Daphnia pulex: one gene and its partner. The protein of the gene in region 2 binds, or shares a complex with, the protein of the main gene of each other region. Links are inferred from orthologs where the notes say so. Each region holds a gene or a part of one and is shown on either strand. Other genes may lie near its edges. The genes, in order: nuclear pore complex protein Nup98-Nup96-like and nuclear pore complex protein Nup205-like.

What was found.
Region 1: nuclear pore complex protein Nup205-like (region 2) and nuclear pore complex protein Nup98-Nup96-like share a complex: the UniProt entries of both Homo sapiens proteins name them as parts of the nuclear pore complex. The link is inferred for Daphnia pulex from reciprocal best matches to the Homo sapiens genes NUP205 and NUP98.

Annotation. Positions count from the first base shown.
Region 1 is NC_060021.1:8,259,499-8,264,007, reverse strand, and holds the start of nuclear pore complex protein Nup98-Nup96-like, read right to left. Parts: upstream 3,039-4,509; 5' UTR 2,882-3,038; exon of another isoform or gene 2,869-2,881; intron 2,778-2,868; 5' UTR 2,737-2,777; coding exon 2,685-2,736; intron 2,547-2,684; coding exon 2,304-2,546; intron 2,194-2,303; coding exon 1,799-2,193; intron 1,734-1,798; coding exon 1,490-1,733; intron 1,436-1,489; coding exon 1,140-1,435; intron 1,057-1,139; coding exon 840-1,056; intron 767-839; coding exon 338-766; intron 272-337; coding exon 1-271. Other genes in the region: condensin-2 complex subunit H2-like, read left to right, coding at 3,490-3,812, 3,882-4,273, 4,334-4,509. UniProt on the Homo sapiens protein: Plays a role in the nuclear pore complex (NPC) assembly and/or maintenance. NUP98 and NUP96 are involved in the bidirectional transport across the NPC. May anchor NUP153 and TPR to the NPC.
Region 2 is NC_060022.1:5,062,844-5,067,365, forward strand, and holds the start of nuclear pore complex protein Nup205-like, read right to left. Parts: upstream 3,073-4,522; 5' UTR 2,893-3,072; coding exon 2,758-2,892; intron 2,700-2,757; coding exon 2,227-2,699; intron 2,167-2,226; coding exon 1,396-2,166; intron 1,337-1,395; coding exon 909-1,336; intron 851-908; coding exon 701-850; intron 631-700; coding exon 407-630; intron 345-406; coding exon 248-344; intron 186-247; coding exon 1-185. UniProt on the Homo sapiens protein: Plays a role in the nuclear pore complex (NPC) assembly and/or maintenance. May anchor NUP62 and other nucleoporins, but not NUP153 and TPR, to the NPC.

The DNA of each region.
Region 1 (4,509 bases), on a different chromosome or scaffold from region 2:
GCTTTCAGTTGAAGTTTCTTGACACTTCGTCGAGGTACGAAGAAATCTGTTTTCGCTTCCGATCCAGCTCCGTTCTCCTCACCTTCTTCTTCGTCGCTCAATCCTTCAAAAATCGAACGTCTTCCACCACCAGTCGAGGATCCGTTAAGCAAAGCTTTCGTGCGGATTTTATTCGAGGGAAGGGGTGAGATACGGTATTGAGGAGGAGTTGGTGCAGCCCCGTTGGACAAACTGGTACGGGCGCTTGATTTGATCAATTCTTCTGTTTTTCCTGAAAACGCAATGAAACAATTAATGAATGAAATGCGTTCAACTGTGTTCATTCGAAGTGGCTTACCTGACGGTTCCAGCATTTTCCGGAAGAGAGGATGATCACTAGACTGAGAAATCTCACTTAGCGTCAAGATATACTGATGAATAGGCAACTGGGAACTGCTAGTTCCAGTAGTAGGCTGCGTCGTTCCGAAAGACATTGAAGTTGAGGGTGCTCCAATACTTGTGTTCCCAAAGAGTGAACCGGGAGCGCCAGTACCCATCCCACCAGTAGCTGTTCCAAAGCTAGGTGTAGTGCCAAAGCCAGAACTTCCAAAGGGAGTACCGCCAAATGGACTGGGCTTTGCATTTGCAGCCGATGCCCCGCCGAACATTGTATTTTGACCGAATCCTAGAGTCGACGGAGTTGATGTCACCGCACCAAATGTTTGCCCGGCTGGTTTGACTCCAAAAGCCGTTTGTCCAGGTGTGAACAACCCAGTTCCAGTAGTACCTATAAAAAATACAGTCGAAATTTTTTTTGGTGCAAACACAAACAAACAACAAAAACAATTTCCTGATCTAACCTGATGTACCAAATCCACCGAACGCTGGCGTCGTTGTTTGAGCGGGAGTAGTTCCAAATGCAGGGGTAGGTGTCGCTCCAAAACCAGTTATTGGTTTCGCACCGAAGATGTTGGATCCAGCGGACTGAGTGGTTGTCGTTTGAGGAAAACCAAAACCTGCTGTTGAAGTCTGAACTCCCATTGCTGGCTTTGGAGTGTTGAAAAAGCTTTGACTGGTCTGCAATAATCAGAAATAAAAAGAAAACGATAAGTAGGAAACAATCTCAAATAAAAAGGAATAAATAAAAATATTATCATTACCTGTTGTGGGGCACCAAATCCAAATGCGGGAGCGGGTGTTTGTGTCCCGAAAGCAGGAGTGGGTTGGCTCGTAGATTGGGGACCGAAAATCGATGAGCCAAAAGGTTTATTTTGTTGTTGCTGACCGAAGAGACTGGGTTGCTGCTGTTGTTGCTGTTGAGGTGCAGGCGTCCCGAAACCAAATGATGATTGAGTGGAAGTAGCAGGTTGACCAAACCCCATGGGTTTTGCTCCAAAGGCCGAAGGTTGAGCTTGTTGCTGTTGAGGCTGTCCAAATAAGCTCGGCTGTCCCATAGCTAAATACATACGAATTATCTCTTTTGTTCATCATACACAAGAAAAATACTTACTGGGTGCTGGTGTTCCGAAAAGGGGCGTCTGTTGAGTTTGTCCAAATAACGGAGTTGATTGGGTAGTCGTAGTGGTCCCACCAAATAATCCTCCAGTTTGTGGTGCGGTTCCCGGGGTCGGTCCTTTCCGTCCTACAGAGTAGTCTTCAAATCTAAGTTCTTCCAAAGATTTATTGTCATATTCTTTCATGCATGTTATACACTGATGGTGTGTGTTTATTGTCGTTTGGACATTGTTTTTCATCTAAAGACCACAAAATGAAAATTATAATTCATAGAGAAAAATATGTGTATGAATAAATATTATACCATAGAGTCTGTCCCTGTTAGAGGACTGAATTTTACTGGGGTACCAGTAATGGCTCCACCAGTACCACCAAATCCCCCAATTGTGTTACCAAAAGATGATGTCCCAAACAAACCAGTACCCGTTGACGGCGTTGCTTGTGCTGTGGGCTGTCCAAAAAGTGAGGTGGTTTGAGTGGGCTGGGATTGGGGTTGTCCAAACAAGCTACTGGAGGTACTAGTTGCTCCAAAGCCAAATGTAGGTTTAGCTTGAGCTCCAAATCCTGTATTGGTGGCTGCTCCAAACATGCCAGTTGTACCAGTTGAAGGGGCAGTTTGTTGGGTATTAGATCCAAACATACCAGTTGAAGCAGCAGGGGCTCCAAATAAGCTCCCCCCTGAAGTCCCACCACCAAATCCTTTTGTTACAAAACCAACAACATGATTAAGTGCTCTTTGATTGCAAATTAATGAAGTTCATCAAAGATATCTACTGTTTGATGAAATGTAACTATAAAACATAAAATACCTCCAAAGCCAGTATTAGTTGCAGGTGCTCCAAATCCTGCTGTAGGTTGTGCTGCTCCAAAAGTGGCAGTAGGTGTACCAAACAAACCTCCCGAGGGTTGGCTTGTTGTAGTACCTGTGCTTCCAAACATCGAGGTATTTGATCCAAAACCTGTAGATTGGAAAGTTGGTGCAGCCGTTCCAGTTGGCTTTGCCCCAAACGAAGACTGCCCAAATCCTGTTGATGTATTTGTACCGAAACCGCCTAAATGCAACAAACAATGGAGGGCAAACAAAAAATGTTGAAATTTAAATGGTGACGTAATGACAAGATAAGATACATTTGTAAACATGAAATATGCTTATGCAATGGTAAAGAATAATAATTGTCTGGATGCATTACCAAAAGTATTTGATGTTGGGGCTCCAAAAGTGGGTCTATTTTGTCCAAACATTTTTAAAGATGTATCATTGAAGAAGCCGGCACACTCCGCAGCTAAGTAAAAAAGAAAATGTCAAAAATGTCTCCCAATATTTATGGAGTACGAAATGCAACACCACAGAAGTCTTAATCTCGGAGAACTCACAATTTGAACTTACAATGGCTAGCGGTCGTCACACAAGTTTTTAGAACACAACAGTAATCTCAGCACGCGGGAGTCGTATGAACTTGCTGACAATTCAATGAAACGTTGAAAAGGCAAGACGGTGCTCATACGAATTACGAAAGGCAAAAAGCAGTTGCGGCGCACAAGAATGAGAATAGAAAGAAGGCCGTTTGACTGCGTCTTCCAGCGGTTAGTATTCATTAACTTGCATTTAGCAATTCAATATGTTTACACTATGATGACACGAAATTTAAGAGGTGTAAAATATTTTAATTAGAATTTGATTGTTGCAAAATTAAAGAGTTTTGGTTAGTTTTCGCAAAAATCTAAACACTGAGAGTCATTATAGGTGGCGCTACGTACATGGCCACCAAAGTTTGACCCTTGATTTAGTTGCATAGTGGGCCTTGTACTTCAGAACTAAACGCAACACTTACGTTTACTCCAAAATTCAATTTTTGAATTGTTGTGTTTTCTTGTTTGTTCAGGCAAAGTGGCTGACAGTTTATTTTTCAATATGAAAAATGTTCTTCTTTTTCTGAAATAGTTAAAGATTCGAGATATTTTTTGTTGTAATAAGTTTCGCAGTCGTGTTAAACAATGGGCCCTGGTCTTGCGAATTCGAGTGGGAGTTCTGTTGAAGAAGATGATGTTTTCAGTTCTCAATTTGCTGCTCTTCTTAAGCCAATTCGAGAGCTTACTAAACAAGGATGTTGGGAGCTGAATATAGCTGATAAATTGGAGGAATATGTCCAGTATATTCAAGATTTGCGGATTGAAGTTAATGTAAACGGGGAGCAAATGAAGCTAGATTTTGCTAAGGCTGCTATGGTTGTACAGAATAGTGCACAAATCTATAGCAAGAAAGTTGAGCAGCTCTGGCTTCTTCTCCAAGAAGTGATTGAGTTTTTAAGTTCGAATGGGTAACTAAAATCATGTACTGTACAATGTTTTACTTTCTAATAAAACACATTTCTCTCTACTCTCTATAGGAATGGTAATGAAAATGATGAAAATCAAACACCTGGCTCCAAGATAAGAAGAAATCACCGAAAAAAACATCACAAAGGAGATGTAGATCTTATCACAGAACCAATTCCACTGAAGTTTAGAAAGTTTGGCTCAAAATTAAAGAGAAAAGCTACAGCCAAAGACACAAAAAAGATCCAAACTTTACCGTATGAAATCTTGCAACTAGAAGAAGTTATAGGAAGCTTAAATTCTGTTAAAATTAAACTCTACACACTTTCAAACGAGCATTTGGGTTACCCCTCTGATCTAAGATCTAATTTCCCCTTTGACCCTTACACTTTGTTTTTGCAAATCCATCACGCAAACGGATTTAAAGTACATCCCGAGAGAGATGTCCTTAACGAAAACCAAGGTAAAATGAAAAATGTGGATATTTTTTTCCGTTTATTAATTTATTTTATTTTTAACGAAGAAGCTGAACATTCCGTCGCAGATTTGGTGCCAACCGAACCAGTTCCTATAACGTCTATGCACCAAGATGATCTAGAAGTCGAACCTCCTAACTTGGATGATTGGCAAAATGACGGAGAAATGGCCTCAGAAAACGAAATCATTCCAGATGACCTCGAAGAAAACGGGAACTCCAAC
Region 2 (4,522 bases):
TAATAACAAGAGAACATTAAGCGTTAGTGTTTCCAACTCTTCAATTCCTGGCGTGGGTGTGTAAAGATCCAAGACACGACAGCCTTCGTCCACCACATGAAGCAGGAGGCGCAAAAAGTTGGAGTCGTGCAGACATTGCACCAAAAGATGATACCCTGGTGGTTTGCACCGAATGGCATTGCCGCCTACCAGGAAAAAAAAAGCAAGCATTAAGAACAAGTTTTCTTAAAACTTAATTATGATTTACCAGACGGTAATTCAATGTAGGAGTCCTGAAAATCATCCACACTGGGTTCGTAATTCGAGAGCAATTTTAAAAATAGCTTTACACAGGCATTTCCAATCTACAAAACGAAGTCAATGTTAAGACTTTGTTTTACAACTTTTTAAACCTAAACGAACAAACCTGCCATTTTTCCGTTTCATTGCGGTACGCCCTACCACTAAATTTCAGGAAAACGGAATCTTTAACGTAGAATAAGTAGGGATCAAATCCAGGCGTTCTATGTCCAGTTCCCAAGTTGGTTGGGATGGATATATCAGTCATCACGTCCAGTAATTTAAGAAAGGCTCTTGTGAGGGGGTATTCTTCAGCTCGAGACTCAACATCTTCCAATTCCGTGTGGAGACCTAATATTCAACCCTTTTTTTGTTTTTTACTGGGCAGGAAATTAATATAGAATTATCTTCATGCACAAACCTTTGACATTTGTTGAAACTATGCTTGTAGTTGACAAAATCTGAGCTATTTCAATGCTGTTCCACAGTGTATATGCGATGTCAGGTGACTGGGCGAAAGCTGCAAGAACCTCCATGATCTCTCCCTTCAAACTCAATGGCACAGCACAGCCTACAATTTAGAAGATGTATTTTTCGGGTTCATTCGATAGCTATTTGCTTTTACTTACCTAAGAGTCCGATCATCACGACTAATGGTATCCATGTTGGATTCTCGGCCAAAGATATCCTGGCAACAGGGTCATGTTGGAGAACGATTCGCATTAACTTCAAAACGACCTGCAATCCCTGAACCTCCTGTGGTGTAATGCCTTTTGTGAGGGGCTTGTGGCGGTAGATGGTGTCCGGTACAGGGAGCGACTCTTGGCGCAAACTGTTAAAATATCTGTGGAGTGATGAGAAAAAGTGTTCCCAAGAGATCAAATTGCTTTGACCGCCGTTGCTGTTTTGTTTCAGAAGGGTAAAGGCTTGGTGAGCTGCCCTCTTTCCATTTGCCAATCCGCAAAGCATGCTGGCATAAGAAATGTAGAGAGAAGGCGGTAGCAAATCCCCGGCCAAACGAATAAACTTATATAGGGCCATTTGTCGCTGAGAGACTCTGCATTAAAAAGGCGATAAGTTTTTATTTTTATTTCAAAATAAACAATAACCATATACCTGTAGTTTACTCCAGCATTGGCCATGTCACTAGACCAAAATTCAAGACACAGTTCCAGCTCTAGAGGATCCTCTCCGTACAGAACGGCGATAAAGTTAAGCAACCATTGAAAATCCAGCGGCAGGTTTGAAGGTGGCTCAAGGCCCTCTTGCTGATAGACAAAGATGTTACGTGCAACTTCATCGGCCTTATTACGAAGATCTTTGATTTTCAGGGGCATTTGAACAATTAGATCCGTCACAAGTGAATGTAATCGCCGTAAGTAAAACTCCTCTTTGTAGATATGATTTTTGGTTTGTAGTAGATGACTGAGAAAATTCAAAGCTTTTCCCTCTAACGCGACGTCTAGGATGGCTTCGTCTTCGTCAACCTGCATTTGAATTGGAGCGCAAAGTCCAGATGAAAGCGAACGGAAAGTAGCCAAAGTCACTGCCCAGGCAAGTTGAACTGAAGCTTGAAGGCCAATGTTCTTCCAAGGAAGTGGTTCTGTCAGACGCTTTTGAATAGTCGCAACAAATGCACTTTCCGAAGTGATGGGTAACAACCGGACGACGTCTTCACTTTCTTCAGTTCTAACGATACCGCTGATATCAATAGCATACAAAAGAGCCATGAAAAGAGTGACGTTGACGTTATCGACTTGTTCGACAGATGAAAGGTAATTCACTAGCAGCAGTGTATCGTCCCTACACAGTCCATTTTGAGCAGCCAAACAAAATACAATGTCCGCTAACGACTGCCTTATTTCAGTGAAGAAATCATGAACTTGTCTAAAATAAAAAACACAAAAAATTAAAAGAAAGAAATATTAATCTTAATTGTAAACAAACCTTCTGTGTTTTGGTCCACCGAGAGCTCGGTTTTCGTGGAGCAAATTGATTTCCTTTTCAAGGTTCAGTTGACTTAACAGGGCTATGATTTGATCTACCAAACCTTTTTTCACCAATTTAACGGTGTACTCTGTTATTAAGTCAACAACTTGTTCGCTGGTGTCTACAGCCCATGAAATTCCTTTCCTTGCTTGGATGAGAATTTTTAATGAATTGACAATGGCACGTCTAGCATCATAGTACAGCAGTACTGAAATCAAACCCCTGGTTAATTCTGGATAGTAATGCATTTGCTGTTCTGCTGTGTGTAAAAGTTCAACAGCAACATTTTCGTTTAGATTAAACATATCAGAGATAATGAGTGCTTCATCCACAAACGATTGTTCAAGTGAAGCAGTCGTCTTTCTTCCAGGGAAAAGAACAGGTTCTTTGACAGATTTTAGGAGAAGGTTTCTGTCATCGAGATTTTTTGCCTGAAAATGAATTTGACTTGAGCTTAGAACACAGATTTAATCTGATTCATGAAATTACCGGCTGTTTAAGAAGGGCAGAGAAATCTGAACGGTGATTTTTCAATGCTTTCTCCAGATTGTCTAGGCTGTTGCATTGCTGGTTATTAATTGTGTCTTCAACCAGACTGTGGAGGTCCTTAGACTTGGTCCACATCTTTTGATTTTAAAACTTGTGACAGTTCAACCAAAAGTAAAGCTTATTTCACTAAAAAAACCTAATAACCACAAGGGCAAAAGCTGAACGTATTCGAAACTTGGACTTCGAATTCGTCTGTGGGGAATTGTCGTGTGATAATTTTTCGTACCGGTAGTCGGTAGATGATGCCAACGCCACCTACCATCACAGCGCCATCTATTCAAAGTAAATTCCCGCCAGTAAGAAAATTGAAACAATTGCGTTGAAATTGAAACACGATTACCGCCAAAAACCCATTTATCTATCTATTCAATATTCGTCCATGGATTTATTGTTTTCTCAAAATAGGGTGTGGATATTTGAAAAATAAAGTAAAAACGAATCAGCTTATTTTAAGAATGATCAGACGGTTTGTAATCAAAAGAGTAACAAGTAATATTTACAAATGAACTGCAAATTATCCTGTACACATTATCTTGTCCACAACAGTCACGTATAACACGCACAAGAAAAAAGATTGAAAAAAAAGACCGACCACACACGAAAATGAAAAATAATAATTAATCGACAAGCACAAAAAAGTTGTTCCCTTTTATCATTATACAAAAAAGCAATGCTCTCAGCTGCTTTTTTTTGTTGTGGAGGAGTGGTGGTGGAGTTGGAGCAGAAGGAAATACGGGAAAAGTTCAGTTTCGCTCGAGAAAACATTATAAAGATGACATCGCTTTTTTTTCAGAATTTAATGACGCCCAATTTGGGAGACCGAGTCCAACGCGTCATCTCGATACAAAATAGAATAATAGCACTGAGAATTTGTTTTTTTTTTGTTGTTTTCACCTGTACAAATTACACTAATGTCATCCAACTGACTTGATAATACAGACGCACACTTACGAAGACACGATGCGCTGTGCCACAAGTTGCCATAGACGAACACTCACACTCACTCACACATACAAAGTCGATTCTAGCAGAATTTTTCTTATAAGATAATTTTTACTTTTTAAAAAATTTTCAGTGTTCAAACAAGGTAAATGAGGAAAATATGAAGGAAGATCAGGGCGAGAATAGAGGTTTTTTTCCTTTCAATGACACGCATTCACGCACACACAAAAAAGAACTGTTGACGGTTTGATTGTGGCAAAAAATTCAAAAAAAAAAAAAAGAAACACAATAATCATAAGAGTTGGGTAGGTTGAAGTGAGGAGACGGACGTTTAGGAACGGTGGTGTCCACCTATTTGGGTATGTTTTCCTTGTTACATTTATTTACAGGATTCGCATATTGGGGCTCAAAATAAAGAAATGAAATCCAATCGTCAATCGCACTGCGAAGAGAGAAAAAGATATAAGGGAGGGGAGGAAATCGTAGGATTGAGCATTTTAATTTTTTTTATTTCAAAACCTCCCAAGTTTTTATTTCCTCAAATTCGAAGAACGGTGGTTTTGTTTATCGCCAGTCGTTGCCTCCTAGACGCTTTCACCATATGTATATCTTTATAAGGTCAAAAAACACATCCAATCTTTGATGCTCTCCATAACTCGTCGTTGTGGAGTCTACTTTCTAGACTGATTTGAGATCCTGAAAAAAAAATGTCGTTCGTGATCCACAGAAAAACACCTCTTTGCCGCTTGTGTGTGCCCCGTAA